Saccharomyces cerevisiae S288C: one gene and its partners. The gene in region 1 interacts genetically with each later gene. Each region holds a gene or a part of one and is shown in the gene's direction. Other genes may lie near its edges.

What was found.
Region 2: mutations in PXA1 (region 1) and PAR32 together harm fitness more than expected from each alone (negative genetic interaction), as found in Saccharomyces cerevisiae (2 studies listed by BioGRID).
Region 3: mutations in PXA1 (region 1) and FAR11 together harm fitness more than expected from each alone (negative genetic interaction), as found in Saccharomyces cerevisiae (2 studies listed by BioGRID).
Region 4: mutations in PXA1 (region 1) and FAA2 impair growth when combined (synthetic growth defect), as found in Saccharomyces cerevisiae (2 studies listed by BioGRID, with this or other methods).

Annotation. Positions count from the first base shown.
Region 1 is NC_001148.4:271,649-277,588, forward strand, and holds PXA1 (ATP-binding cassette long-chain fatty acid transporter PXA1), read left to right. Parts: upstream 1-1,606; coding exon 1,607-4,219; downstream 4,220-5,940. Other genes in the region: ATG5 (Atg5p), read left to right, coding at 1-546; PPT2 (holo-[acyl-carrier-protein] synthase), read right to left, coding at 646-1,167; NOP53 (Nop53p), read right to left, coding at 4,514-5,881.
Region 2 is NC_001136.10:142,262-149,578, forward strand, and holds PAR32 (Par32p), read left to right. Parts: upstream 1-5,929; coding exon 5,930-6,817; downstream 6,818-7,317. Other genes in the region: GID12 (Gid12p), read left to right, coding at 1-1,962; AIR2 (TRAMP complex RNA-binding subunit), read right to left, coding at 2,223-3,257; DLD1 (D-lactate dehydrogenase), read right to left, coding at 3,565-5,328; GLT1 (glutamate synthase (NADH)), read right to left, coding at 6,942-7,317. UniProt on the Saccharomyces cerevisiae protein: Involved in resistance to cisplatin.
Region 3 is NC_001146.8:381,015-390,310, forward strand, and holds FAR11 (Far11p), read left to right. Parts: upstream 1-2,972; coding exon 2,973-5,834; downstream 5,835-9,296. Other genes in the region: DGR1 (Dgr1p), read right to left, coding at 231-377; NRK1 (ribosylnicotinamide kinase), read left to right, coding at 466-1,188; TEP1 (putative phosphatidylinositol-3,4,5-trisphosphate 3-phosphatase), read left to right, coding at 1,345-2,649; SPC98 (Spc98p), read left to right, coding at 6,213-8,753; ESBP6 (Esbp6p), read right to left, coding at 9,132-9,296. UniProt on the Saccharomyces cerevisiae protein: Participates in the control of the reentry into the cell cycle following pheromone treatment.
Region 4 is NC_001137.3:183,033-188,035, forward strand, and holds FAA2 (medium-chain fatty acid-CoA ligase FAA2), read left to right. Parts: upstream 1-1,508; coding exon 1,509-3,743; downstream 3,744-5,003. Other genes in the region: HEM14 (oxygen-dependent protoporphyrinogen oxidase), read left to right, coding at 1-1,187; BUD25 (Bud25p), read right to left, coding at 699-1,137, 1,646-1,668.

The DNA of each region.
Region 1 (5,940 bases):
ACTTTTTTGAGAATTCACTTGGTTATGGGCGATTCGTTGCCACCAACTATCATTCCCATCGCATCTAGCAAAACGCAAGCGGAAAAGTTTTGGTTTCACCAATGGAAACAAGTTTGCTTCATACTGAATGGTTCCTCAAAAGCTATTATGTCTTTATCGGTCAACGAAGCTCGAAAATTTTGGGGCAGTGTTATTACGAGAAATTTCCAAGATTTCATTGAAATATCTAACAAGATAAGTTCATCAAGACCGCGACATATACCGCTCATCATTCAAACCTCAAGGACATCAGGAACTTTTCGAATATCACAACCAACTATCAGTATGACTGGAGTCAATCCTACGTTGAAGGATATTGAAGGCGATATTCTGGACGTAAAGGAAGGAATCAATGGTAATGATGTCATGGTTATTTGTCAAGGAATTGAAATTCCTTGGCATATGCTCCTGTATGATTTGTATTCTAAATTGCGAAGTTTTGATGGCTTTTTGTACATAACTCTTGTTCCTATAAAAGGCGGCGATAAAGCTTCCTCTGAGCTCTAAGAGCTGTTATATACGCATTTAAAAGTGTCATTCAAATATCGCAGAAAATAACTTGGACGTTGAAAATAGGGCCACATTTATACGGCTGCAAGAAAACTTTTACTCTCTTTCTACCAAGTTTGTTACTGCAATTAAATAATCTTTATCATGGGATAGCGAAACTAAAAACTCATGAGTGGAAAAGAGAGAATCGTAGTTTTTCGAGAGCTGTTGATACTTTGGATACTTTTTTCCAAACATCTTATCAAACTCTAACTGAGGTACACCTGTATCGGTTTGTGTTTTATATAGCATTCCAGCGTACAGTACTTGGGCAGGAGGTAGATCATGCTTTGAAACACAGCAACACAACGCTTTCAATGAGCATTCCTTCAAAGCCCAAACTCCCGCTATATATTCATGCAATCGTGGAGTTAAGCAGTTTTCTTCGATGAGAAGATTACTGAAATGAAATCTTTCCTTTTCATGCATGAACTTCCGTGTTATTTTATTCAAGGTAGAACGGCCACATGGGTCGAATGGGGAATATTTCTCTAGTATATGTGCAAATCTTGGCAAGTATACAATGTCAACTCCCACTCCTGCTATCTTACGTCCAATATTCCTCGATGCAAAACTCATCACTGGAGGCATTCAAAGCTAGCACTTATGAAATAAACGTTCATTAGAAAGCAATACTCCTGATAAGAAAATAGTGCTTAGCTTCTATTCAGCCTTCTTAAAGAACTAGCTTTTCTATCAAAAGTCAGATCTCTTATGACCGCTTGAACCTGTGGAATGTATATAAGCAGTTTTGATGTTAAGATTTTTTTTTCAATAGAATTTCTTCCTTCGGAAATAATCCCGATTAAGAAATTATTCTTGACGCAATATTCAGCTATATGTTGATCGGGCTTAACCGCATAAGTTTCGTTACCCTTTTTTACCCCAATTTTTAATTTCGGCGGTTATTTTCAGCCCTTTTAGAGTCAAGATATATAAGAATGCTTCTCTAAGAAGTGAGACTAACAATGAAACCCGTTTCAGACAATCTGGAAGTCTTAGAACGCATAACACAGAAATGTCAACAACATTAGCAGCACCAGCGAAACTAAAGAGTTTGCTCCTGAATCTACATACTCACTGTATTGGGCTACACGTTAACGATGTCACACCTAAAGTATATTTCAAGTTATTGATACGGCATCTTCTACAGATATCTAGATCAAACGCTGCTCATCCTAAGCTAAGAAGAAGGGCCCAGATTTTATTGGTATCGCTTTTCCTATCTGGTGTCACACTTTTTTCTGGTGTAACATATAGTACTTTCAAAATTATTCTAAAATGTTATAAATTTTACAAGTTTCCATGGAAGAGAAGGAATAGGAGACCTTTAATAAGAAGAACAAGATCTCAAATGCAATTAGACAGTGGTGCAAGAATAATGTATATTCCTGAAGTGGAATTAGTCGACCGCCAGAGTCCCGATGACAACAAATTTATGAATGCTACAGATAAAAAAAAAAGGAAAAGGATATTTATTCCACCAAAGGATAACGATGTATATGAACACGATAAGTTTCTTTTTAAAAATGTAGAACTGGAAAGAGCCAAGAATTCGCAGTTATTCTACTCAAAATTTTTAAACCAAATGAACGTCTTGTCTAAAATTTTAATTCCAACAGTTTTTGACAAAAACTTTCTTCTTTTAACTGCTCAAATTTTTTTCCTGGTGATGAGAACTTGGCTCTCTTTGTTTGTAGCCAAGCTGGATGGACAAATAGTCAAAAATATAATTGCTGGTAGAGGAAGAAGCTTTCTGTGGGACTTAGGGTGTTGGTTTTTAATTGCTGTCCCTGCTTCTTATACTAATAGTGCTATTAAGCTACTTCAAAGGAAGTTGAGTTTAAACTTTAGGGTAAATTTGACACGTTACATCCATGACATGTATTTGGATAAAAGACTAACATTTTACAAATTAATTTTTGATGCAAAGGCGTCCAATTCGGTAATCAAGAATATCGACAACTCCATTACTAATGATGTTGCAAAATTTTGCGATGCGACATGCTCCGTTTTTGCAAACATTGCAAAGCCAGTTATTGATTTAATATTCTTTTCGGTTTATTTACGTGATAATTTGGGAACTGTGGGAGTAGCAGGTATATTTGTTAATTATTTCATTACTGGGTTTATTTTGAGGAAATACACGCCACCATTAGGTAAATTGGCAGGCGAGAGATCTGCTTCAGACGGCGATTACTACAATTATCATCTAAACATGATAAATAATAGCGAAGAGATCGCATTTTACCAAGGAACAGCAGTGGAAAGGACGAAAGTTAAAGAGTTGTATGATGTGCTGATGGAAAAAATGCTGCTGGTTGATAAAGTCAAGTTTGGTTACAATATGTTGGAAGACTATGTTTTAAAATATACATGGTCCGGTTTGGGTTATGTTTTTGCCTCAATCCCTATCGTTATGTCTACCTTAGCGACAGGCATCAATTCAGAGGAAAAAAATATGAAGGAATTTATAGTCAACAAAAGGTTGATGTTGTCGCTTGCAGATGCAGGCTCGAGATTGATGCATTCGATAAAGGACATCTCACAATTGACCGGCTACACTAATAGGATATTTACTCTGCTTTCCGTCTTACACAGGGTTCACTCTCTGAACTTTAATTACGGCGCTGTTCCTTCAATCCTGTCAATACGTACAGAAGACGCTTCCAGAAATTCCAACTTATTACCCACCACGGATAATTCGCAAGATGCTATTCGTGGTACTATTCAACGCAATTTTAACGGTATTCGGTTAGAAAATATAGACGTAATCATTCCATCAGTAAGGGCGAGCGAAGGCATAAAGCTGATTAACAAGCTTACATTTCAAATTCCTTTGCATATTGACCCAATAACTTCAAAGTCCAATTCTATACAAGACTTATCGAAGGCAAATGATATAAAGTTACCATTTTTGCAGGGTTCTGGCTCCAGCCTGTTAATATTAGGGCCAAATGGTTGCGGTAAAAGTTCAATTCAACGCATTATAGCTGAAATATGGCCAGTGTATAACAAAAATGGATTATTGTCGATTCCTTCAGAAAATAATATTTTTTTTATTCCTCAGAAACCATATTTTAGTAGAGGTGGAACTTTAAGAGACCAAATTATATACCCCATGTCCTCGGATGAATTCTTTGATAGGGGGTTTAGAGATAAGGAGCTAGTACAGATATTAGTCGAAGTGAAACTAGATTATCTTTTAAAAAGAGGCGTTGGCTTAACTTACCTAGATGCCATTGCCGATTGGAAGGACTTATTAAGTGGTGGTGAAAAGCAAAGAGTAAATTTTGCTAGAATCATGTTTCATAAACCACTATACGTAGTATTAGATGAGGCTACAAACGCAATTAGTGTTGACATGGAAGACTATCTGTTCAATCTTTTAAAACGATACAGATTCAATTTCATTTCCATATCACAAAGACCCACATTAATCAAATATCATGAAATGTTACTAGAGATCGGTGAAAATCGAGATGGCAAATGGCAATTACAGGCAGTTGGTACCGATGAAGCAATCACGTCGATTGACAACGAGATTGAGGAATTGGAGAGAAAACTAGAAAGAGTAAAAGGTTGGGAAGATGAGAGGACGAAGCTACGGGAAAAGCTTGAAATTATTTGAAAACACCCTAGAAAGGGAGAGATTTTATTTAGCGAATATAATTTATATATTATTTCCGTAACTGAATTTGTACTTTTGAATGTTTAACTGATATCTAGAGATATCGACATGGGAATGCCCTCTCAAACTAGAAAAGGGCAGAGAACGAAAAGAAAATGAAACAATTTGTTACCTACTATACAGTTGTTGGTCTTGCCAACACAAATATGAACATATATATATATATCTCACTTGATGAATCCACGTATCAAGGACAACCTTTTCATGGAAACATATACTGTAAAACAAAAAACTCTATTTGAAGTCCTTATGTGTCCACTTTTCAGTGATTTTCTGCTTATACTTTCTACCTTTCCTAACGGGCACTCTTGTTTCGACCTTACCAGAACTTTGTAGTTTTCTCACAGTATCATATAGCAGATTTCCTTCAGGTTTCAGTTTTCTCAATGAGTCAGATAATTCGTCAGAAAATTTAATCTCCAATCTTTCATCAATCACAGAGTATTTCGTCCCTAACTTGTGTTTCTTATTTTTCTTGCTTTTTTTAACCTTGTTGCTATCTGACTCTATGGCTGAAAGTATCTCAGTCTCTTCAGAATTGATAACTTCTTCTAAATCTTTAACACGTTGTCTCAATTCTTTCAACTCTTGTTGCAATTTTACTTTCTCTTCATGTCTCTTTGCCTTGTTTCTTTGATATTTTGTTTTCTTTTTATTCTTCACAGGCTTATTTATTGATAGTTTTATTTCCTTATCAGATCCACTACATTGCGTACTTTCATTTTCATTTTCATTTTCTTCTTCTTCTTCTTCTTCTTCTTCGTTTGATGAAGACTCTTCCTCTTCATTGTCATCTAAAGTTTCCATTAAATGTCTAATTCTTTCTTTGTACTTTTCCAAGGCGATTCTTTCATCTTCTCTTGCCTTTTCCTCTTTATACTCTTTGTTTATCAATTCTGACCAAGCTTTATTGTTGGGATTGTAGGATTTACCAGCATGTGGAATTTCTGTGAATTCTTTTACTGCAATTGGCTCTATATCTAAAGTACTTGGTCTGACTGAAGCAGTAGACCAACTTGTCGTGGATTTTTTCAATAGTTCTTCAGGTATCTGGTCCTTTTTTTCCACATCAAGTTTGATACCGGAAGGTAATTTGACCTTCTGTTTCTTTGAATTGGATTCTTCACCCCATAAGTCGCCAGCCGTTGTTTTAACTAGACCGTCTTTGGCAACTCTATTCTTGATCTTCGATTCGCCGTGTACTCTGCCAGCCAAAGCCATTAATTTCTTTAATTCGTGTTTAGAAACACCTTGAATCTTATTAGGATTTCCACTACTATTCTTATGGTGATTTAGTGCTGCAATTTTTGAATTCGTTTTAACGGCGTCTAAAATCTCTTTACTTTTTAGAACCTTCTTAATTTGTTTCCTTTTAATTAATTTATTTTTCAATATCTCATCACCCTCAACATCAACATGAAAAAGAGCATCATTTTGCAAAGAGGTTATATCACTGGTACCATGCGTAATTTCATGATCAATTTTCTTTTCCATATATTGTTCTACGTCAGATAAATCGATATTTTTTCTCCATGCTTTCTTACCCTTTCTTGAAGACTGTTTGTATTGAGATGGTTTCTTGGTTAGATTAGTTGGAGCCATTTTTAAATAAATGATTCATTAACGTGAGGATGGTATGGATCACAAGAAAGCCGAACTAA
Region 2 (7,317 bases), on another chromosome or scaffold:
TATTTAAGGCCTAATGGTAGAGACACGTCAATATCTCCAGACGCAACGCATATTTTGGACTCATGTGATTACATGGTGCTGGCTAAATCCAACGGATTCATTGAAATCATAAGCAACTATCAATACAAGATAAAAAATGGCCTGCGATTAGCGCCCTCTTATATCCTTAGATGTACTCCGGAAGATTTCGAATCCAATTTTTTTAGTGACTATATGATCGCTGGTCTTGAATATAGTCAAGGTTTATTATATTGTTGTATGTGCTCCGGTCGAATATATGTCTTTGTAATGAACCTTCCCACTGATTACATTCAGTATAAGAACATGTACAACCCCATGTTTCCAGATTGCTTTTTCAAAGTACATCACGATAATAATACAACACATTCTTCAGAAGAAGAAAAATTATTTGAAGGTAGTACGCGGTACACTGGAAGGTCATGCTCTAAGCATATCTGCTACTTCCTTTTGCCTATAGAACCATCCCATTTAAGATCGTCACCCGTGGTATCTTCGTTTTGCAATATGTATCAAGGCCTGCCCATATATAGGCCTTCGATGTATTTACATATAGAACGAGGTATTTCCACATTCCATATAAATCCATTAGACCGGTTTTGTTTCATGACAGTATCGCCACGATCACCACTATTTATAAGGAAAATAATTTTACCATTGACTTATGTTACATTTTTAAGCACCTTTATCAGCCTAAAGAACAGTATACAGGGAGATACATGCGGTGAGATACTTTCGTGGGACAACGTAGCGCAACAAAATGGATTTGGTTCTTTGTTCAGCTGGATTAGTAACAAGTTTACATTCGATACGGATATTATAAATTCAACCATTTGGGATGATATTGTAAAATATTCTGGAACAGGAATGCTGGATTCAGGAATCGTCTGGAAACAGCGTCAAGGTCACGCTAAAGATGACATATATGAGTTATTCCACACTCAAGATATGCTGGGAAGTAGTCGCCGAAATTCTTCATTCAGTACTGCTAGCAGCGAACCGAGACCGCTGAGTCGAAGAAGGAGAGAATCTTTTCAAGCCTTAACTAGAGACGCTTTTAGAGAAAGAATGGATGTACCCTGTTCAACGAAGTGGGAATTAGATTCTTTTATCCGAGGATTAAGAAGGAATACATTTATGGTAGATTTTGAAATTGTTGAAAAGATTTCTCATAGAAATGGAAATGATGGGGTGAATGAAGATGATAACACTACAGATGAAAGTGATGAAACAATGACTTCTTTTCTAACAGATAATTACAAAAAGATGGACATTGTGTGCATCGATCATTTCGTCACGTTGAGTGCATTCCGACCTCGGTACTATGATGAACCAATAATTAAAATCGATTCATTATCGAACAAAAATGGCTCTGAAAATGGAACTAATGAAGAAGAGTGGGCAGAAAGTCAAATGAAGGTGGATGGCCAAGTGATAGATGATGAGACAGCTCAATTCAAGCAGGCATTGGGAAATTTATGTTCATTCAAGAAATTATTTATGCTGGATGATTCTTTATGCTTTATATTGGACACACATGGAGTTTTGTTGATAAATAGATTTGAAATAAAAAATACCAAAAATTTGTTAAGGAATTCCAAGGATACTATTCGGATAATACCCCATGATTTCGGATTGATTAATGATACAATTGTTATAATTAATGATATAGACGTAGGCACAGACAATGTTTGCGCCCTTACGTTTCACTTGGTGGTAACATCAATGGCAGGAGAGATAACTGTTCTTAAAGGCGAATTTTTCAAAAACTGCAGGTTAGGAAGAATAAAACTGTGCGATTCACTAAAGCTAAATAGAAAAGATCGGTTTGTCGACAAACTTGCTCTAATCGATTATGACGGTTTAAATGCACAAAAAAGAAGGTTAGATTACGATGAAAAGGACCTTTATACATTCATTGTGAAAAAGGTAAAAAGAGACTAAATTGAGTTGCATAGATGTTAGCCATAATAGAAAATAGCGTATGAGGTAGCAGGAGTTATAAGACGTATTTACGTATATGTATGTATATGTTATTATTATTACCTGTGATTGCACGAAGGCCTTTTTTTTTCACAACAAGAAGATGTAAGAAATTTACATGCTATTTTGATTAATGGTCGAATTAGGTATTGTCTTTAATCTTTCATTAAGAAAATATAATGTAACCAAGAACAGCTTGTTAAAGGGCTTCCTATTTAAAGTTATCTTCTTTTCCCCAAGGTACCACTCCTATATGGTTGATAAGAATTGTAGTTTCTGTAATTGGAAGAGTTGGAAATGCTGTTATTATCAACATAAGTAGAAGGGTTATATCTGGAGCCATACATATTCTCCGATATCGACGAGACGTTTACTTTTGTATTTTGATACCGTGAATTTTTACTAATATTATTATTGAGTGACAGCGTCTCGCCCCTTATAGTTGGTTGAATGACATTAGACTTTTGATAAGGAGGAGGATGGAAGTTCGATGCTCTACGTTTATTTCTGCCACTATGAGAGTGATCGTTTTGGGAATGTCTTTTATGGGAAGGTCTCGGTAGTGGATCCTCATCGTATATGGACTCACTAAATTGATAGTCTTCATTTTCGTCCGAATTTCTGTTCATGTGACGGTAATATTCCTGTTTTAGCTCAACTGACAAATTAGAACCAGTGAACGCACTTCCATCCTCGTTAGGTACTCTAGATGATCGTTTTTCCTTGCAATCATCACCAAAGTGCCCCTTTCCACCGCAGTTATAACAGTATATAGTATGAAAGGGAAGGACCTTGGGCTTAGCCTTTTCATTATCATCTACTAAAATATATGCTCTCCATATACTAGGACATCTTTCTTTTGAGTGTTTCTTACTCTTACAAAGAGTGCACTGAACTTTTTTCCATTTATGTGGACATTGTGACCTGTAATGACCCACCTCATCACACTTTGAACACTGGATAGCCTTCGGACAATGTCGAGAATAATGATCATCCGTCGCCCCACAGTACGAACATATTATATGGGGACAATCCTTCTTCAAATGACCTCTTTGAGAGCAATTATTACATTTAGGTGCTGCCTCTTTAATGGCATCCTTGTCATCATCGCTTACGCCAAAATATCTACCCTGCCCTCTAAGAGCTCTTAATTCGTTGGGATTACTATTTACTTCCTCTATAGAAGGTGCTACAAGTTTATCTGGAGGAGTTGTGGGTGCCGTATCGACGACAAATGGTGCCGTATTTTTTTCCATGACTGCGAGGAAGTGATGTAAGCTGCTATCGTTGTACAGGTAAGGTTTAATTCTCTCTGATGCTGCCAATAGTCATAACTTTTTTCGAAATGTTTCTTCCCATCCCATTAGTGTTTGAAGGAAAAAAAGGCACTACCCGGATCATGAATACATTTGATGGTAATAATATATATCACATTTTTAAGCATGTATTAGCTACTGGGAAAGGGCATTTTGAAATGGTATGTTTTCTTTAAGGATGAACTATATATATTACATGAAATATATTTCAGGTTTACGTGAAGGGTGAAAAAGGAAAATCAGATACTCACCTGTAATCATTAGCGGGCTCGTTTGGATCAGTTTTAAAGATTTTGTCCGGGTTCATGATTCTCTTTGGGTCAATAGCTAGCTTAATCTTTCTCATCAAATCGACGGGTGCTTCACCTAATTCTTCGAGCAAGTACTCTCTTTTACCAATACCAACACCGTGTTCACCCGTGCAAGTGCCTTCTGCGTTCAGTGCTCTCTTGACCATTCTGTCAACAAGTTGGCTACAGGTTTCGTGTTCTTCAGGGGTTCTGTAGACGATGAATGCATGGAAGTTACCATCACCTGCATGACCAACAATGGCGTTGATCAGCTTACTAGCTTGCATGTCCTTTTTAGTTTCGTGAATAACCTTGTCGAACTGCGACACAGGAACAGCTACATCAGTTGTCCAAATTTTAGCTGATTTGTCTTTGCTCTTATCAGCGTCTAGCACAGACCATAGCGCGACCTTTCTAGCTTCCCATAATTCCAATTTTTCGTCATCATCTTTAGCAAACTGAAAACTGTTGCAGTGATTTAACTGGGCGACAGCCTTAACTTCATCCACAAGAGCATTGACAATGTTGGGAGATCTCCCACCAATCTTGAAAAACATAGTTGGTTTCTCTACCCAATCACATCTGTCCGTGGATTCAGATGCGTTGATCAACTTCATCATATTTTCATCCAGTAACTCCATGGCGTTCAAATGAATACCACTCTGAGTCAGATTAGAAGCACATGCGGCCGCATCCTTGATAGTATCAAAGGATACCACCGCAACAGTTTCAGCTTTGGGCTTGACATGACACTTGACAGTAGCTTCAGTAACAATACCTAAGGTACCTTCACTTCCCACAAATAAACCATTTAAGTTATAGCCAGCGCTCGACTTTCTGGGTCTTTTCTTCGTCTTGACAATGGTCCCGTCCGGCAACACTATAGTCATGTTTATAATATTCTCCTTCATGGTACCGTAACGGTAGGCGTTGGTTCCTGAACAAGAATTAGCAATGCAACCACCAATCTGTGCACCTGGACCAGGGTCACAGCCAAACATCAAACCGTGGTCGCTCAAATAGTCATTCAAATCCTCCCAGGGTAGACCGGCCTGCACGGTGATGTCCAGGTCCAGCTTGTCAAATTTTACGACGTTATTCATAAACTTGGACAGGTCTACGGTTATGGTATCTCCAATTCTTGTAGGCAGGAAGTGCCCCTCCAAGGACGTTCCGCCCGAGAAGGGTACAACTGGCATGTTGTTATCGTGACATATTTTCAAAATTTTGGAAACTTCTTCGGTAGTATGAGGGAATAATATAATCCTAGGTCTTTGCTCGGGAGAGGGGTGATGCGTGTTGAAGTAGGTATCTGAATGGGCGTCCAAATCGGATTTCGCATCAGAGTAGTTTTCAGGCTTGTTTCCCAGCACCTGCTTCAGGTCCTCAACAACCTTATCGATCTTAACCGGGTCGTGCAAATAGTCTGGTGAGTCCAATGAGGACAGCTTTAACGTAGAATTTACTGGGTCGATCTTTTTGACCATTTCCAGCTTCTCTATCAAATCTTCCTTAGTCTCCCTAGAATAGAGGTTCTTAGCGAACAAATAACCGAATAGAGTAGCTGAAGAGGCGATGACAGAGTATTTTAACCACTGGCTGCTGCTGTCGGTGCTGCCTGTGCCTGTTGAGGCGTATCTGTAGCATGATCTTCTCACCAGCCTTCCTCTAGGTTGTGCAATAGGCTTTATTAGCCTTGTGCAAGTACGCTTCCACAACATTGTTCTTGCTTTTGTTTCCAGCTGGATCGGAATGATGTACAATATTTAAATTGCACTATAACACGGAAGCTCAAGAAATCTTTCCAGCCCACACACACACACACATATATATATACATATGTAGTTCCGAGTGCAAAATCGCTAAGCGGTTATTACTGCACCAGTTGGGGCCAACTACGCTGGATCGACGTGGGATTGGCAGGGAAGAACTTCGAGGGAGGTGGTCGGAGAAGAGAGTGGGATGCGGGCGTGGGGGTCTGCTGTTACTTTTATCGGCACAACGGACCTGGGTTGACAAGAGCTTGAAGGCTCCAAGAGACAGCGACCGTCGGCGCCGAATGACGAAACTATGCTGTGTGTGACCAGGCGAACAACATTGAGAGAGTTGAGGAGCCGTACGGACAGCTGTTTGTAGTGATATTTCCTTGTTGTAACCAGACGAGTTCCTTTATAACGTTTTGAAATGTTTCATAGGGTTACCCTGACAGAGCGGTGGCTTATGTCAAAAAGGCTGACGCTGATACTAATGACGGTCAATGGAAGCATATGAGCAAAAGCAGCAGCAGCGTTAGCAGCAGCAGTAGCGTAAGACCAAGTTAGTATGGCTACGTTCAACCCACAAAACGAGATGGAGAACCAGGCACGTGTACAAGAGTACAAGGTCTCCACTGGCAGAGGCGGAGCTGGCAACATCCATAAATCTATGTCCAAGCCGTCTCCCGTACTTCTTCCATTGAAATCCAATTCAAAGACAGTAGCAAACAACAATAATAACGGTAGCAACCAGGAAAAGGTTCCTCGTTTTGCAATTGGTAGAGGTGGTGCCGGTAATATCTTTCATGATCCGCACCTGACGAGATCCGCCCAACAACTGGACTCTAACGACAATATCAACTATAACGACGTGATCAATGACATCGACGATTATATTTCCCCTATAACTTCGGATATGGTGGATGAAGGTGGGTCAAACCCGGTGACCAACACCAGGTCTCGTATCAGCGCTACAAGGAGCCATCAGTCTTTGCATGCCACCACTTCGTCTCCGAACAACAACGCCCCAATTGTCGTTGGTAGAGGTGGGGCAGGAAACATTTTCTTCAACAAAAAAAAGGTGGCCAGCAATGGTGGAAATGAAGAGGATGAGATACGAGGCGGCAATATCGAGGATGAGGATACTATCAATGCAAACGAGGACAACCTGTTTGTGGTGACTTCCAATGGCAATGCTTTGGCGGCAATCAAGTCCACGTCCAAGAAGCCTAAAAATAAGCTCAAGGGCAAAAGCGCACCGGAAAAATTTGCTATTGGAAGAGGTGGCGCTGGAAACATAATTTCTCCAAAGTCAAGCAGGAACACTATCAACCATAACTTAAACGATGATGATGAAGATAAGTTTAATTTGAAAGATGACAATGGTAAAGAGAAGAAGAAGAAGAAGAAGAAGAAATCAGGGTTTTTCAGTTCTTTGAAAACTATGTTTAATTGAAATAACATTCATCAGCAAAATTAATAAACTAAATAAAATAAATAAATAAATAAATAAATAAATAAATAAATAAATAAATAAATAAATAATATACGATCATAAAATAAATAATAACTCAAGCTTTTTAGACTTGACTAGCTAATTCTTTCAATAGTTTGTAATCACGTTGAACGATACCACCATTACTTGGTAGATACGTAGTGCCGTCCATTAGGAACTTATCGACAGAGGCAGCACATTTTCTACCTTCTTGGATGGCCCAGACAATCAAAGATTGCCCTCTTCTACAGTCACCACATGCAAAAGTCTTTCCTCCATCAATAGAGTATGAGGAGTCGTCGAGTGTGGCAATCGTACCACGTCTTGTCTTCTTAACTTCGTTATCGTTGCCATTGATCAATTCAGGACCCACGAAACCCATAGACAACAAAATGATATCGGCTTCAAAGATCTCTTCACTGTTGGGAATTTCTACCATTTGCCATACGCCACTTTGTGAC
Region 3 (9,296 bases), on another chromosome or scaffold:
CAGTAATAGAACTGGACTATAGGAAACAACAATATAGGAAGGATTGCACAAGATCAATTTTTATGCAATAGGAAATCTTGTTATTTGGTAAATCAGCGAGATGTTGTATGACATGCAAATGCTTCACTATTCGGGCAATTCGCATTAGCACCTGAGTATATATCTGACATAAAAAGATTTCTGAAGTTATCGTCAGATAAGAAGATGGAGTCAAAATGTAAACAATAACTTTAACCTATATAAATTTTCTTACATTTGCTTTTAAATACTCGAAGATTTGCATTGAACGATCGTTGCCGTTGACTCATTTGAAACAGAAAAACAATACACGCAGGAAAGGAACGGCAGTTGGTCTGAGAAACAAAACCAACTTGCATTTTAGGCTGTTCCGATAGTTTATCAGAGTAAGGGAAAAAATAGCGTGCAAAAGCTATCGAAGTGTGAGCTAGAGTAGAACCTCAAAATATGACTTCGAAAAAAGTGATATTAGTTGCATTGAGTGGATGCTCCTCCAGTGGTAAGACGACAATTGCGAAACTTACAGCAAGTTTATTCACGAAGGCTACATTAATTCATGAAGATGACTTTTACAAACATGATAATGAAGTGCCAGTAGATGCTAAATATAACATTCAAAATTGGGATTCGCCAGAAGCTCTTGATTTTAAACTTTTCGGTAAAGAATTAGATGTGATCAAACAAACTGGTAAAATAGCCACCAAACTTATACACAATAACAACGTAGATGATCCCTTTACAAAGTTCCACATTGATAGACAAGTTTGGGACGAGTTAAAGGCTAAGTATGACTCTATTAATGACGACAAATATGAAGTTGTAATTGTAGATGGGTTTATGATTTTCAATAATACTGGAATATCAAAAAAATTTGATTTGAAGATATTAGTGCGTGCTCCCTATGAAGTACTAAAAAAAAGGAGGGCTTCCAGAAAAGGATACCAGACTTTGGATTCTTTCTGGGTGGATCCGCCGTATTATTTCGACGAATTTGTGTATGAATCTTATCGTGCAAATCATGCGCAGTTATTTGTTAATGGAGACGTAGAAGGTTTACTAGACCCAAGGAAGTCAAAGAATATAAAAGAGTTCATAAATGATGATGACACTCCAATTGCGAAACCTTTAAGCTGGGTGTGCCAAGAGATTCTAAAGCTTTGTAAGGATTAGGAAAGCGCCACAAAATCGATGAGAAGTATAAAAAAAAAAAAGTAAAAACAATAAAAATAAGAATGTGTACCTCGATAGATAACTTAAATAAGACAATTTCAGAACCACAATATTGATAACACCATCCCGATTTTTGAAATTATTTTTTTGGTGTAAATGAGAGAGGAGGGGAGTGAATTAGAAATGGAAAAAGGCTTCCTTAAATGGAAACCAGTCAACTTGATGAAGAAAATATTGTCTTTACCAATGAAAAAAACTAAAAACGATATAGGTTTGAGATTAGATATATCATATATTTTAGTTAATCTAATAGTCTGCTCATACCCGGTAAACACGTATCCAAAACTGCTTTATAGGAATAGCTTGGATGACTTAATATTGTTTCTAACAGTGTACCATGGCAAGGGAAATTTTAGAATTTTTAATTTTAGAGGTGAGAAAGAAGACAGCGATTATAAAGATAATGATCTTATTGGTATCGCTGCCAAGTTTGAGAGCAAAGATTTTGAAATTCAAGAATTACGTTCGACGCTGATTAATGATGGAAAGATACCAATATCACCCATTGATCTCGAAACAAGGACCTTGGTCGAAGAAGAAACCAATAATGTAATTTGTGAAAGGATCGGTTGGCTAGATCATTTTCCACCGCCATTTGAACTGCTGGAAGAGATTGTAGATGGTATAGAAAATTACCTGTCCGTTTCGAAGAATAGAGTGGCTGTTTTACATTGTCGAATGGGGAAAGGCCGATCTGGTATGATAACAGTAGCATACCTCATGAAATACTTGCAGTGTCCTCTTGGAGAAGCAAGATTGATATTCATGCAGGCTAGATTCAAGTATGGTATGACGAATGGCGTCACCATACCCTCTCAATTAAGATACTTAAGGTACCATGAGTTTTTTATTACCCATGAAAAAGCAGCCCAAGAAGGAATTTCTAATGAGGCGGTAAAATTCAAATTTAAATTCAGGCTTGCTAAAATGACGTTCCTCCGCCCATCAAGCTTAATCACTTCCGAGTCTGCTATTGTAACTACTAAGATTCAACACTACAACGATGATAGAAATGCCCTCCTAACCCGAAAAGTAGTATATTCAGATATCATGGCGCATGAATGCGGTGGTAATATGACCTTCATTTTTGGTAGGGACTACTTAACACTGGAAAATGATTGTCGTATAGAATTTACCCTGGGGACCAGCAAGTCCAAAGCCGCCAGTAGCATAATATCTTGGACTTCATGCGCCAGCTGTTGGCTGAATATATACCTTGAGACTTTGATGCACATAATTAAAGACGATTCTTCGCCAGATTACTTTCAAGTAGAGAGGTTAAAGAGAGACGAAATGCTTGGGACAACCATAAGCTGGCAAGAGCTGGACGGTTTTGGGGAGCTCAGCACTCACGGCTTGAAATTATTTCAGGCACTGAAATTGGAATGGGAAATTATATAGGTTTATGCATTTCGTCAAATCCATTCATTCGTTAAACTTAGTTAAAAGTGTTATATTTATTGTGAATTGGTTTGTTTTGGTAGGCTTTTTTCTATATTATGTATTCTTTTCCTTTTCTTCAATATTCTTGTATGGTACTTTAATTTACTGGCAGGTATTTTTTGGAGCGGTCAATTATATGAATCAAAACGCCATTCTAGAAACAGGAAGAAATATATGAGAACCAAGGAGTAGGTTGAAAGGCATTGTAGAGAAATTTTATTAGTATTTATAGCCGAAGAAGAAGGTTAAGTGACAAATTTTCATTTATAAGCCTCGCTAAAATGAATGCTAGTGGAAGATCTCATTCCAAAGGCCCCATTATAAGGTCTGTGTCTTTAGAAGATCTTAAGAGAAACTCTAGTTTCAAAGGCAATCTAAAGTACAAAGATGAAGTCACTTCACATAAAGAACCACAGGTCGGAACATTGAGCAACGAAGAACTGCTAAAAGATTTGGACAACATGTTGCGCGGTAAACTGAACATGGGAAGAAACAGTTTTCATGCCGATAAAAGAAATAAATCAGATGGAAATATCAGTGCCTTAACCTTCAAGGCAAGATCAGGTCTTGAGGGAGATATTCGTACCATAGATATACAGCAAGATAGTAGTGATGAAAATGATAATTTTAAGTTCAGTGATGATGGCGTTAATAAGGATAGAAATAATGAGAAAGATAATAATACTGATAACGCCGTTGAATTTCAAGACGATGCTGAAGAAGCTGAAGAGGAGAATGAGGATGAATCATTTGCTAATGTAGATGAACTGGATGGCTTTGATTTGAATAAGGTTTCTGATGGCAAGCATGTTCCTATCAATGAAAAGGGCGAAGTTGATTATAATATGCCGGTAGATAAAGAATTTCAGAAATCACTTGACCAGTGCGCAGCTTCACTTGAGGAAAGATCAAGTGCACCTTATGCTTTACAAAGAGCAGTGGACTGGGAATTGAAGATGTTTTATTCTTTGGAAGATGAACTGTCGGAATGGTTTTGCAGCTCTGATTATATGCATTTTGGACAGACACAGACTCTGTTTAAACAGAAAATTACGCAACCACAATTATTCTTTGATGATGAAAACTATGCTGCGAGCGTAGTTGAATGTTTAATTGAAGACATCCCCAATTCTTTAGCATCTAATTTACTCGCATTATCATATATTTCTATGGGATGCTTTGCGTTTACGAATAGCAAAAGTGAGCATACAAAGATTATACGACGCAACAATTTAATGCTTGTTCCTCATATTCAAGAAATTGTTCATGCCTTCAAGAAGATTGCAATAAGTTGTAGGGATGACAACAGAAATTTAAAGAAACAAACAATTTTGCTATTTCATTCGTCAACAATCCTATACTTCATATGCAGTATTTGTATAGAAGGTAGAGGAGAAAATCCGGAAGCAGTAAATGTTGTTATCGACGCTTTTGAGAAAACAGATTTGTTGGAATTTTTAACAAAGTATATTGAAAATTGGAGGTGGAATAGCAGATTAGCTATGCGCATAAGAAATATGATTTCTTTGCTCTTCAAGCTTATTGTATTACAATTTGGTGACAGTTCTGTCTACAAACAGACCAAATCATCTATTTATAATCTCCATGGCTTAACATATCCATCAAAGCATCCAGAAAAGCTTTCTATCTCCCCATTACATTATCAAGCATTCAGGGAGGACATTACTTCCCGTTTTCCTGATTACAATATGCCCAGTTCTGGCTTACCTAAAGATGTTGACAAATCAGAATCTCTTTCCCAGTTTCTGGAAATTCCTCGTCCAAAATCAAAGAATCCTCTAAATATGGCGCTCATTGTTCCTGAAAAACATATTGCTACACCTGCTCCTTCACCGCCAAGCTCTCCACAATTAATGCATTTAGGTGAAGGTCCTAGACCTCGTAAATCTTTCCAAACAAACATGGCATATCCGTGTTTGTATCCATCTGATAATGAAGGATCTGAAGATGACACTCTGGAAGATAGGATAGATTTAAATATAGAGAGAAAACCTGATAACGATATAGTTATTCCATTCAGTACCGAAGAGGCAGCGAGAATATTAAGCGAGAGTTTAGAAATTAAGCTGAGTACAAAACAACTTTGGTACGAAAGGGACTTATTCATGATAACTGAACGTGGTTGGAAACAGCAATTAGAAAATGAGCCATATGATTATGCCGCGCTTAATCATGATGCAAACTCTTCAAAAGAGGAAAAAAGTGCGATTTGCATTATGCAGCGAATTGACAAATATTATAAGAGCTGCCTTTCGAGCTTTAACTCTCTTGTTTTTGTCTTACTGCAAACAATGGAATCAAGCTTGACAAATAACTTTCATAGGAAAAGTGAAGTCTCCGATAAAAATCTTCTAAATATGCTGACACCCCAATTGGAGATCGTGAGAGCTAAGGAATTGTCCCTAAAGTCAGCAGCGGGCATATTACATGCGTTATTGAAGTGGTTTAAGTTAAGCCATATTTTGAAATTTGAACACTTGGCGGTAGTTATTCACGATTCGCGATACATCAACACATGCGCATCTATTTTAAGCAAATATTCTGAGGTTTATCCAGAGAGGGTTTTCAATAAATATGTACAAACCCCGAATTCATTTTGGAAGGAGTGTTCTCTCTCTAACGAGTCTTATCGTGAATCCTATTCAGTAGATGACTCAGGAGAGGTCGACACGGAGATTATGCCTTCGTTTGCATATCTGTTAAGAATCTTGAGAAAAGTCACAGGGAATAAAACACAAAGGTTAAAGGAGCTGCCCCTCTCCATCGGCATTCTATTTAAACGCTATTATCGGCTCTTCAACCTTGACATGTATCATCCAATATTGAAAATAACAAGAGAACTCACACCATTCAAAAACAAGAGGTGGAAATCCGAGCATATGGAATTGATATCGGGGGTTTACCTTTATGAAAAGCTGGAGTTAACTGATAATTGGGTAACAGGGAAGGATATATCAGGAGAGTTGAGCGATGCTTGTGGTCAAGAAATTGCACTCCGGGCCTTGCTTCAATTTTACAATTTTCAACACTATGAAATATCTATGGAGGACCTTGGATATGGACACCGTAATAGTTCCAGCCAAGATCTGTTAAACAAGGAATCCGAGTATTTGAATATTTAAATCTCTACTTACGGATACCGAGGCTCGGGGCGCGATGTTATTGTCATTAACAATCTCCTATCCCTCCCTATGTTTATATAGTTTTCAATGGAGGAGCATGAAAACCCCTTAAATAGTGTTTATTTGATCGCGCAATGGTGATGATTGGATCTTCATATCACAAGTGGGATACTAGGACAACCGTTGTTGGATTTCTATTATCATAATATATACGGGTAACGATTTTTGATGCGTCGCGTTTGTAAACAAAACTAAACAAAACAAACAAATATACTCATTTGATGGCTTCATCTGCATATAAGAAATAGAAGAGCCAGAATACTAAGCATAACCATAATATATATTACAGTCTATTTCAGTTGTAGCTGAAAAATCAATATGGAACTAGAGCCCACTCTTTTTGGTATAATAGAGGCATTGGCTCCTCAATTATTGTCGCAGAGTCATTTGCAGACATTTGTATCTGATGTAGTCAATTTACTGCGATCATCCACCAAATCGGCAACTCAATTAGGCCCTTTAATTGATTTTTACAAATTACAATCACTAGATTCGCCTGAAACAACAATTATGTGGCATAAAATTGAGAAATTTCTCGATGCTTTATTTGGAATCCAGAACACCGATGATATGGTAAAGTACCTCTCTGTCTTTCAATCTTTGCTTCCATCAAATTACAGAGCAAAAATTGTCCAAAAATCATCTGGGCTCAATATGGAGAACCTTGCTAACCATGAACATTTACTTAGCCCAGTGCGGGCTCCAAGTATATATACAGAAGCTTCATTTGAAAACATGGACCGATTTTCTGAAAGAAGGTCCATGGTATCTTCGCCTAATCGTTACGTTCCCTCTTCAACCTACAGTTCTGTTACTTTGAGACAGTTGTCAAATCCTTATTATGTGAACACTATACCCGAGGAAGATATCCTAAAATACGTATCATATACATTATTAGCTACGACATCGGCACTATTTCCGTTTGATCATGAGCAAATACAAATTCCGTCTAAGATACCCAATTTTGAGAGTGGACTTTTACATTTAATATTTGAAGCGGGTTTATTATATCAAAGTTTGGGTTATAAAGTGGAGAAGTTTAGGATGTTGAATATATCTCCAATGAAAAAAGCATTGATTATAGAAATTTCAGAAGAATTACAAAACTACACAGCATTTGTGAACAATCTGGTCTCTTCAGGGACAGTAGTGTCATTGAAATCGTTATATCGTGAAATATATGAAAATATAATAAGGCTTCGAATATACTGTAGGTTTACAGAACACCTTGAAGAATTGAGCGGAGATACATTCTTGATTGAATTAAATATTTTCAAATCCCACGGAGATCTTACTATAAGAAAAATAGCAACGAATTTGTTTAATTCAATGATTTCTCTTTATTATGAGTATTTAATGAATTGGTTGACTAAAGGTCTACTCCGAGCTACTTATGGAGAATTCTTCATTGCTGAAAACACTGATACAAATGGTACAGACGATGATTTTATTTACCACATTCCTATAGAGTTCAACCAAGAAAGAGTTCCGGCCTTCATACCGAAAGAGTTGGCATATAAAATATTCATGATCGGCAAATCGTATATCTTCCTAGAAAAGTACTGTAAAGAGGTTCAATGGACAAACGAATTTTCTAAAAAGTATCATGTCCTGTACCAGAGCAATTCTTATCGGGGAATATCAACGAACTTTTTTGAAATTATAAATGATCAATATTCTGAAATTGTTAATCATACTAATCAAATTCTAAATCAGAAGTTTCATTACAGAGACGTGGTATTTGCGTTAAAGAATATTCTTCTCATGGGTAAATCTGATTTTATGGATGCTCTTATAGAAAAGGCCAATGATATTCTCGCGACACCATCGGATTCATTGCCAAATTATAAGTTAACAAGGGTTTTACAGGAAGCCGTGCAGCTTTCTTCCTTAAGACATTTAATGAATAGTCCCCGTAATAGTTCTGTCATTAATGGATTGGATGCGAGGGTACTCGATCTTGGACATGGATCCGTGGGTTGGGATGTTTTTACTTTAGATTACATCCTCTACCCCCCTTTGAGTTTAGTATTAAACGTAAATCGTCCTTTTGGCAGGAAAGAGTATCTACGAATTTTCAATTTTTTATGGAGATTTAAAAAGAACAATTATTTCTATCAAAAGGAAATGTTGAAGAGTAATGATATAATCAGATCATTCAAGAAAATCAGAGGTTACAACCCGCTCATCCGTGATATTATCAATAAACTTTCTAGAATCAGTATACTTAGAACTCAATTCCAGCAATTCAACTCGAAGATGGAATCTTATTATTTGAACTGCATTATAGAGGAAAATTTTAAAGAAATGACCCGGAAACTGCAACGCACAGAGAATAAAAGCCAAAACCAATTCGACTTAATTAGATTAAATAATGGCACCATAGAATTAAATGGGATTTTAACCCCAAAAGCTGAAGTACTAACAAAGTCTTCAAGCAGTAAACCCCAAAAACACGCAATCGAAAAGACGCTGAATATTGATGAATTAGAAAGTGTACATAACACGTTCTTGACGAATATTCTTTCTCATAAGCTTTTTGCAACTAACACAAGTGAAATAAGCGTTGGTGATTATTCTGGGCAACCATACCCAACTTCATTGGTTTTACTTTTAAATTCGGTTTACGAGTTCGTCAAAGTTTATTGTAATTTGAACGACATTGGATACGAAATCTTCATTAAAATGAATCTCAATGATCACGAAGCATCTAACGGATTATTGGGAAAATTTAATACGAATTTAAAGGAAATTGTTAGCCAGTATAAAAATTTTAAAGACAGACTGTATATTTTTAGGGCAGATTTAAAGAACGATGGCGATGAAGAGCTTTTCTTATTGAGCAAATCGCTCCGTTAAGAAATGATCCCGTCCCGTTTTTCATTTATAATAAATTTCCTCCACGCAGGTTTAATGTATAAGTTGTAATGGTAGCAAATGATTTACAGATTTATTTGCAAGTAAAGAGACTCTTTTTTCGTTTTGTTTTTCCTGGATCCGCAACACAAAGTGTATTACATATGGATACATGGAATATCTTTACAGTGCTAAATATATTAGGTTAAAAAAAGGTCGTTTTCTGTAAAGAATGCTTTTTCAGCGTTAACTTTACGTCTTTTTGATAATAAAGAAATTTAATTAGGTGAAGCGGAGATATTGAATATTATGTACTAATGATATGATGAGTAGGCGACGTAACTATCGCGTATATAACATGAATCAGGTCGTCGAAAAGAACTAGACCTTCATTGGATATACCATTCTTAGGAAGTATTTTTTAATGCCCGGACCTAAAAGAAGGTCATATTTAGTCTTTCTTTCTTTTAATTTACCCCAATCTTCATCGGCAGAATCGGTATCGTATTCGCTTGCCTTCCATTCTTTTAACTTCTCGTTTGTCAT
Region 4 (5,003 bases), on another chromosome or scaffold:
TGGGAGAATGGTTCAGAAAAAAATCTCCACATCCTGGCCAAGACGAAAGTGTCGAATCCATTTGTGACAGAAGGTTTGGGAATAACTACATATCAAACAATATGATCAGTGCCTTACTAAGAGGTATCTATGGGGATGACGTTTCCCTATTAAGTGCCAAGAGAACGTTTAAGAAAATATACTACAATGAACTAAAGCACGGATCTAACACACAAGCTATGATTGATAATATGCGCGGAAAGTCAAGAAGTAAAAAAACTGAGAACCTGCACCAATCTTTAACTGGCTGCCTTAACGACTACTCAAATGCGTTTGGAAAAGACAGGTCAAAGTTATTAGACTTATCCAACACGCTAAAGAAATATCCCATGTTGGGTCTTGCTGGGGGACTAGAAACGTTTCCCAAGATAGTCAGAAATGCTTTGAACGAATTTAAAAACGTCAAAATAGTTACTGGGAACCCGGTTACGCAAATAATGAAACGCCCTGCTAACGAAACGACAATCGGATTGAAAGCGAAATCTGGCGACCAATACGAAACATTTGACCATTTAAGACTTACGATAACACCTCCCAAAATCGCTAAATTGCTACCGAAGGATCAAAATTCATTATCCAAGTTATTAGATGAGATACAATCAAACACAATAATTTTAGTTAATTATTATTTGCCAAACAAAGATGTAATAGATGCCGATCTACAAGGCTTTGGATACTTGGTTCCCAAATCCAATAAGAATCCAGGGAAATTGCTTGGTGTAATTTTCGATTCTGTTATCGAAAGGAATTTCAAACCACTTTTTGACAAACTCTCCACAAACCCAAACGCCCTCAACAAATATACAAAAGTGACTGCGATGATAGGAGGTTGTATGCTCAATGAACACGGTGTTCCTGTAGTGCCATCCAGGGAGGTAACCATTAATGCAGTCAAAGATGCGCTGAACAACCACCTCGGCATCAGTAACAAGGATCTGGAAGCTGGTCAGTGGGAATTCACTATCGCCGATAGATGTCTGCCAAGATTTCATGTAGGTTATGACGCATGGCAAGAAAGAGCTGAAAGGAAGTTGCAAGAATCTTACGGCCAAACAGTTTCTGTGGGGGGAATGGGATTTTCTAGAAGTCCCGGTGTCCCTGACGTTATTGTAGACGGCTTTAACGACGCCTTACAGCTAAGCAAATAAGTACGTATATATATGGTTAGCTTTACGCAAACTACTTCTTTTGACAATTGAGGCAGTTATCAGCTAATAAGAAAAAGTAGTTAGTATCAAAAGACACAATTTATTTATATTAACCAAATTTTTCAGAACATCCTCCGGACCGTCAGTCTTTAACGCCGAGCCGCCGATGATGGGTTGGAGTCAAAACGAGGGAACTCAATATTAATTGCGGAGTTGAGCGATGATGGGTTGGAACTATATAAAGCATCGGAAACGCATGGCTAAGGGAAGTGGAAGAATGCAGGTTACAAAAAACGGATAAGAACAAACTTGTTTCGAAATATGGCCGCTCCAGATTATGCACTTACCGATTTAATTGAATCGGATCCTCGTTTCGAAAGTTTGAAGACAAGATTAGCCGGTTACACCAAAGGCTCTGATGAATATATTGAAGAGCTATACTCTCAATTACCACTGACCAGCTATCCCAGGTACAAAACATTTTTAAAGAAACAGGCGGTTGCCATTTCGAATCCGGATAATGAAGCTGGTTTTAGCTCGATTTATAGGAGTTCTCTTTCTTCTGAAAATCTAGTGAGCTGTGTGGATAAAAACTTAAGAACTGCATACGATCACTTCATGTTTTCTGCAAGGAGATGGCCTCAACGTGACTGTTTAGGTTCAAGGCCAATTGATAAAGCCACAGGCACCTGGGAGGAAACATTCCGTTTCGAGTCGTACTCCACGGTATCTAAAAGATGTCATAATATCGGAAGTGGTATATTGTCTTTGGTAAACACGAAAAGGAAACGTCCTTTGGAAGCCAATGATTTTGTTGTTGCTATCTTATCACACAACAACCCTGAATGGATCCTAACAGATTTGGCCTGTCAGGCCTATTCTCTAACTAACACGGCTTTGTACGAAACATTAGGTCCAAACACCTCCGAGTACATATTGAATTTAACCGAGGCCCCCATTCTGATTTTTGCAAAATCAAATATGTATCATGTATTGAAGATGGTGCCTGATATGAAATTTGTTAATACTTTGGTTTGTATGGATGAATTAACTCATGACGAGCTCCGTATGCTAAATGAATCGTTGCTACCCGTTAAGTGCAACTCTCTCAATGAAAAAATCACATTTTTTTCATTGGAGCAGGTAGAACAAGTTGGTTGCTTTAACAAAATTCCTGCAATTCCACCTACCCCAGATTCCTTGTATACTATTTCGTTTACTTCTGGTACTACAGGTTTACCTAAAGGTGTGGAAATGTCTCACAGAAACATTGCGTCTGGGATAGCATTTGCTTTTTCTACCTTCAGAATACCGCCAGATAAAAGAAACCAACAGTTATATGATATGTGTTTTTTGCCATTGGCTCATATTTTTGAAAGAATGGTTATTGCGTATGATCTAGCCATCGGGTTTGGAATAGGCTTCTTACATAAACCAGACCCAACTGTATTGGTAGAGGATTTGAAGATTTTGAAACCTTACGCGGTTGCCCTGGTTCCTAGAATATTAACACGGTTTGAAGCCGGTATAAAAAACGCTTTGGATAAATCGACTGTCCAGAGGAACGTAGCAAATACTATATTGGATTCTAAATCGGCCAGATTTACCGCAAGAGGTGGTCCAGATAAATCGATTATGAATTTTCTAGTTTATCATCGCGTATTGATTGATAAAATCAGAGACTCTTTAGGTTTGTCCAATAACTCGTTTATAATTACCGGATCAGCTCCCATATCTAAAGATACCTTACTATTTTTAAGAAGTGCCTTGGATATTGGTATAAGACAGGGCTACGGCTTAACTGAAACTTTTGCTGGTGTCTGTTTAAGCGAACCGTTTGAAAAAGATGTCGGATCTTGTGGTGCCATAGGTATTTCTGCAGAATGTAGATTGAAGTCTGTTCCAGAAATGGGTTACCATGCCGACAAGGATTTAAAAGGTGAACTGCAAATTCGTGGCCCACAGGTTTTTGAAAGATATTTTAAAAATCCGAATGAAACTTCAAAAGCCGTTGACCAAGATGGTTGGTTTTCCACGGGAGATGTTGCATTTATCGATGGAAAAGGTCGCATCAGCGTCATTGATCGAGTCAAGAACTTTTTCAAGCTAGCACATGGTGAATATATTGCTCCAGAGAAAATCGAAAATATTTATTTATCATCATGCCCCTATATCACGCAAATATTTGTCTTTGGAGATCCTTTAAAGACATTTTTAGTTGGCATCGTTGGTGTTGATGTTGATGCAGCGCAACCGATTTTAGCTGCAAAGCACCCAGAGGTGAAAACGTGGACTAAGGAAGTGCTAGTAGAAAACTTAAATCGTAATAAAAAGCTAAGGAAGGAATTTTTAAACAAAATTAATAAATGCACCGATGGGCTACAAGGATTCGAAAAATTGCATAACATCAAAGTCGGACTTGAGCCTTTAACTCTCGAGGATGATGTTGTGACGCCAACTTTTAAAATAAAGCGTGCCAAAGCATCAAAATTCTTCAAAGATACATTAGACCAACTATACGCCGAAGGTTCACTAGTCAAGACAGAAAAGCTTTAGGTACTTATGACGATTTGGAACACATTCAAACTAGAAAAAACTTTGATGTAGGATATCCCTATGCACATCCATACGGTATACATAGTGAACGCTCACTGTGTATAATGGACTAACAGTAGTTATAAACCTGCTTTCGTTACTACAGCACACAAGACTATTGTACTTTGTTAAAGAACTATAAGATTAAAGACATACATAATTCCAACTATTTATACCATTAAATATTCTTCTTAAGCTTTTTTTCGCGGCTTTCTATAATATATGAGGATCAATTAGTGAAAGCAATGCTCTCTATGTTGGAACCACAGTGTAGATACTGCACTTTCATAAAGCGCTAGATATAGCTGGTCAATCTAGCGGAGTACATGGGTCACAGTTACCATTCTCGTAACTTGACTTGGTGCACTACGGGTCAAGATGATTGAAAACGGCTCCCACAACTTCAACTGAGGTCTGTTTCAGATGGAGGTGCAGTGTTTTCCATGTAGTGAGCCCTGATATCGGGGCGTAATCACCTAACTCAGCAAAGGTAAACCTTTCTCATCTGACGGAGATAAAGTGATAGTAATCGGGGATGCGGCGACAGAGATTGAAGTTAATTTGACCATTGAATAGTTGCTTATATATGATAGACTTAGCTAAAAGAAAATAATGAAGGCGTACCCCATATCGCTGATCAGAGAAATCCATGTAGATAGAATTTCTGTCTCCGCTAAAACTGCATGAGCGACTGACTGAAGCTCTACTCATTCAAAAATTATCCCTCTTCACTTCCCGTATTCACACTTGTTGCCACTATGGACATGCTCTCTTTGAAAAATGTAGTCTCACCCACAGAAAAGAAAAGATCATTTGAAAATAAGATATCCTGGGAAACCCGCTTGAATTATTCCAGTGTTTCTACCTAAAGAAAAATCACGCAACCAGAAACAGATTTCGTCTGGGTTCGTTCAACAACTCTTTGCTTAAGATTTAATTAGCATATGCTAAATCGCCATTAGGAGCAAAACCAGGGCTTCTAACGATTTCCAATAAAGAAGATACGGAACTTTTCATGTGTTGACAACAACATTACAGGGATTTTTTCAGACTTTCATGTTACCGGTCAATCTGCTGATGCATACATACAGGTATAAAGAACACTTTGCCTAGAACAATAAAGAAAAGTCAAAGACATCTGAGAGGCATCTTCTTACCTGAAAGAGACGCCTTGTATCTTCTATAGGTCAACTAGAGTAGGTGTTCCGGAAACCTGAATGA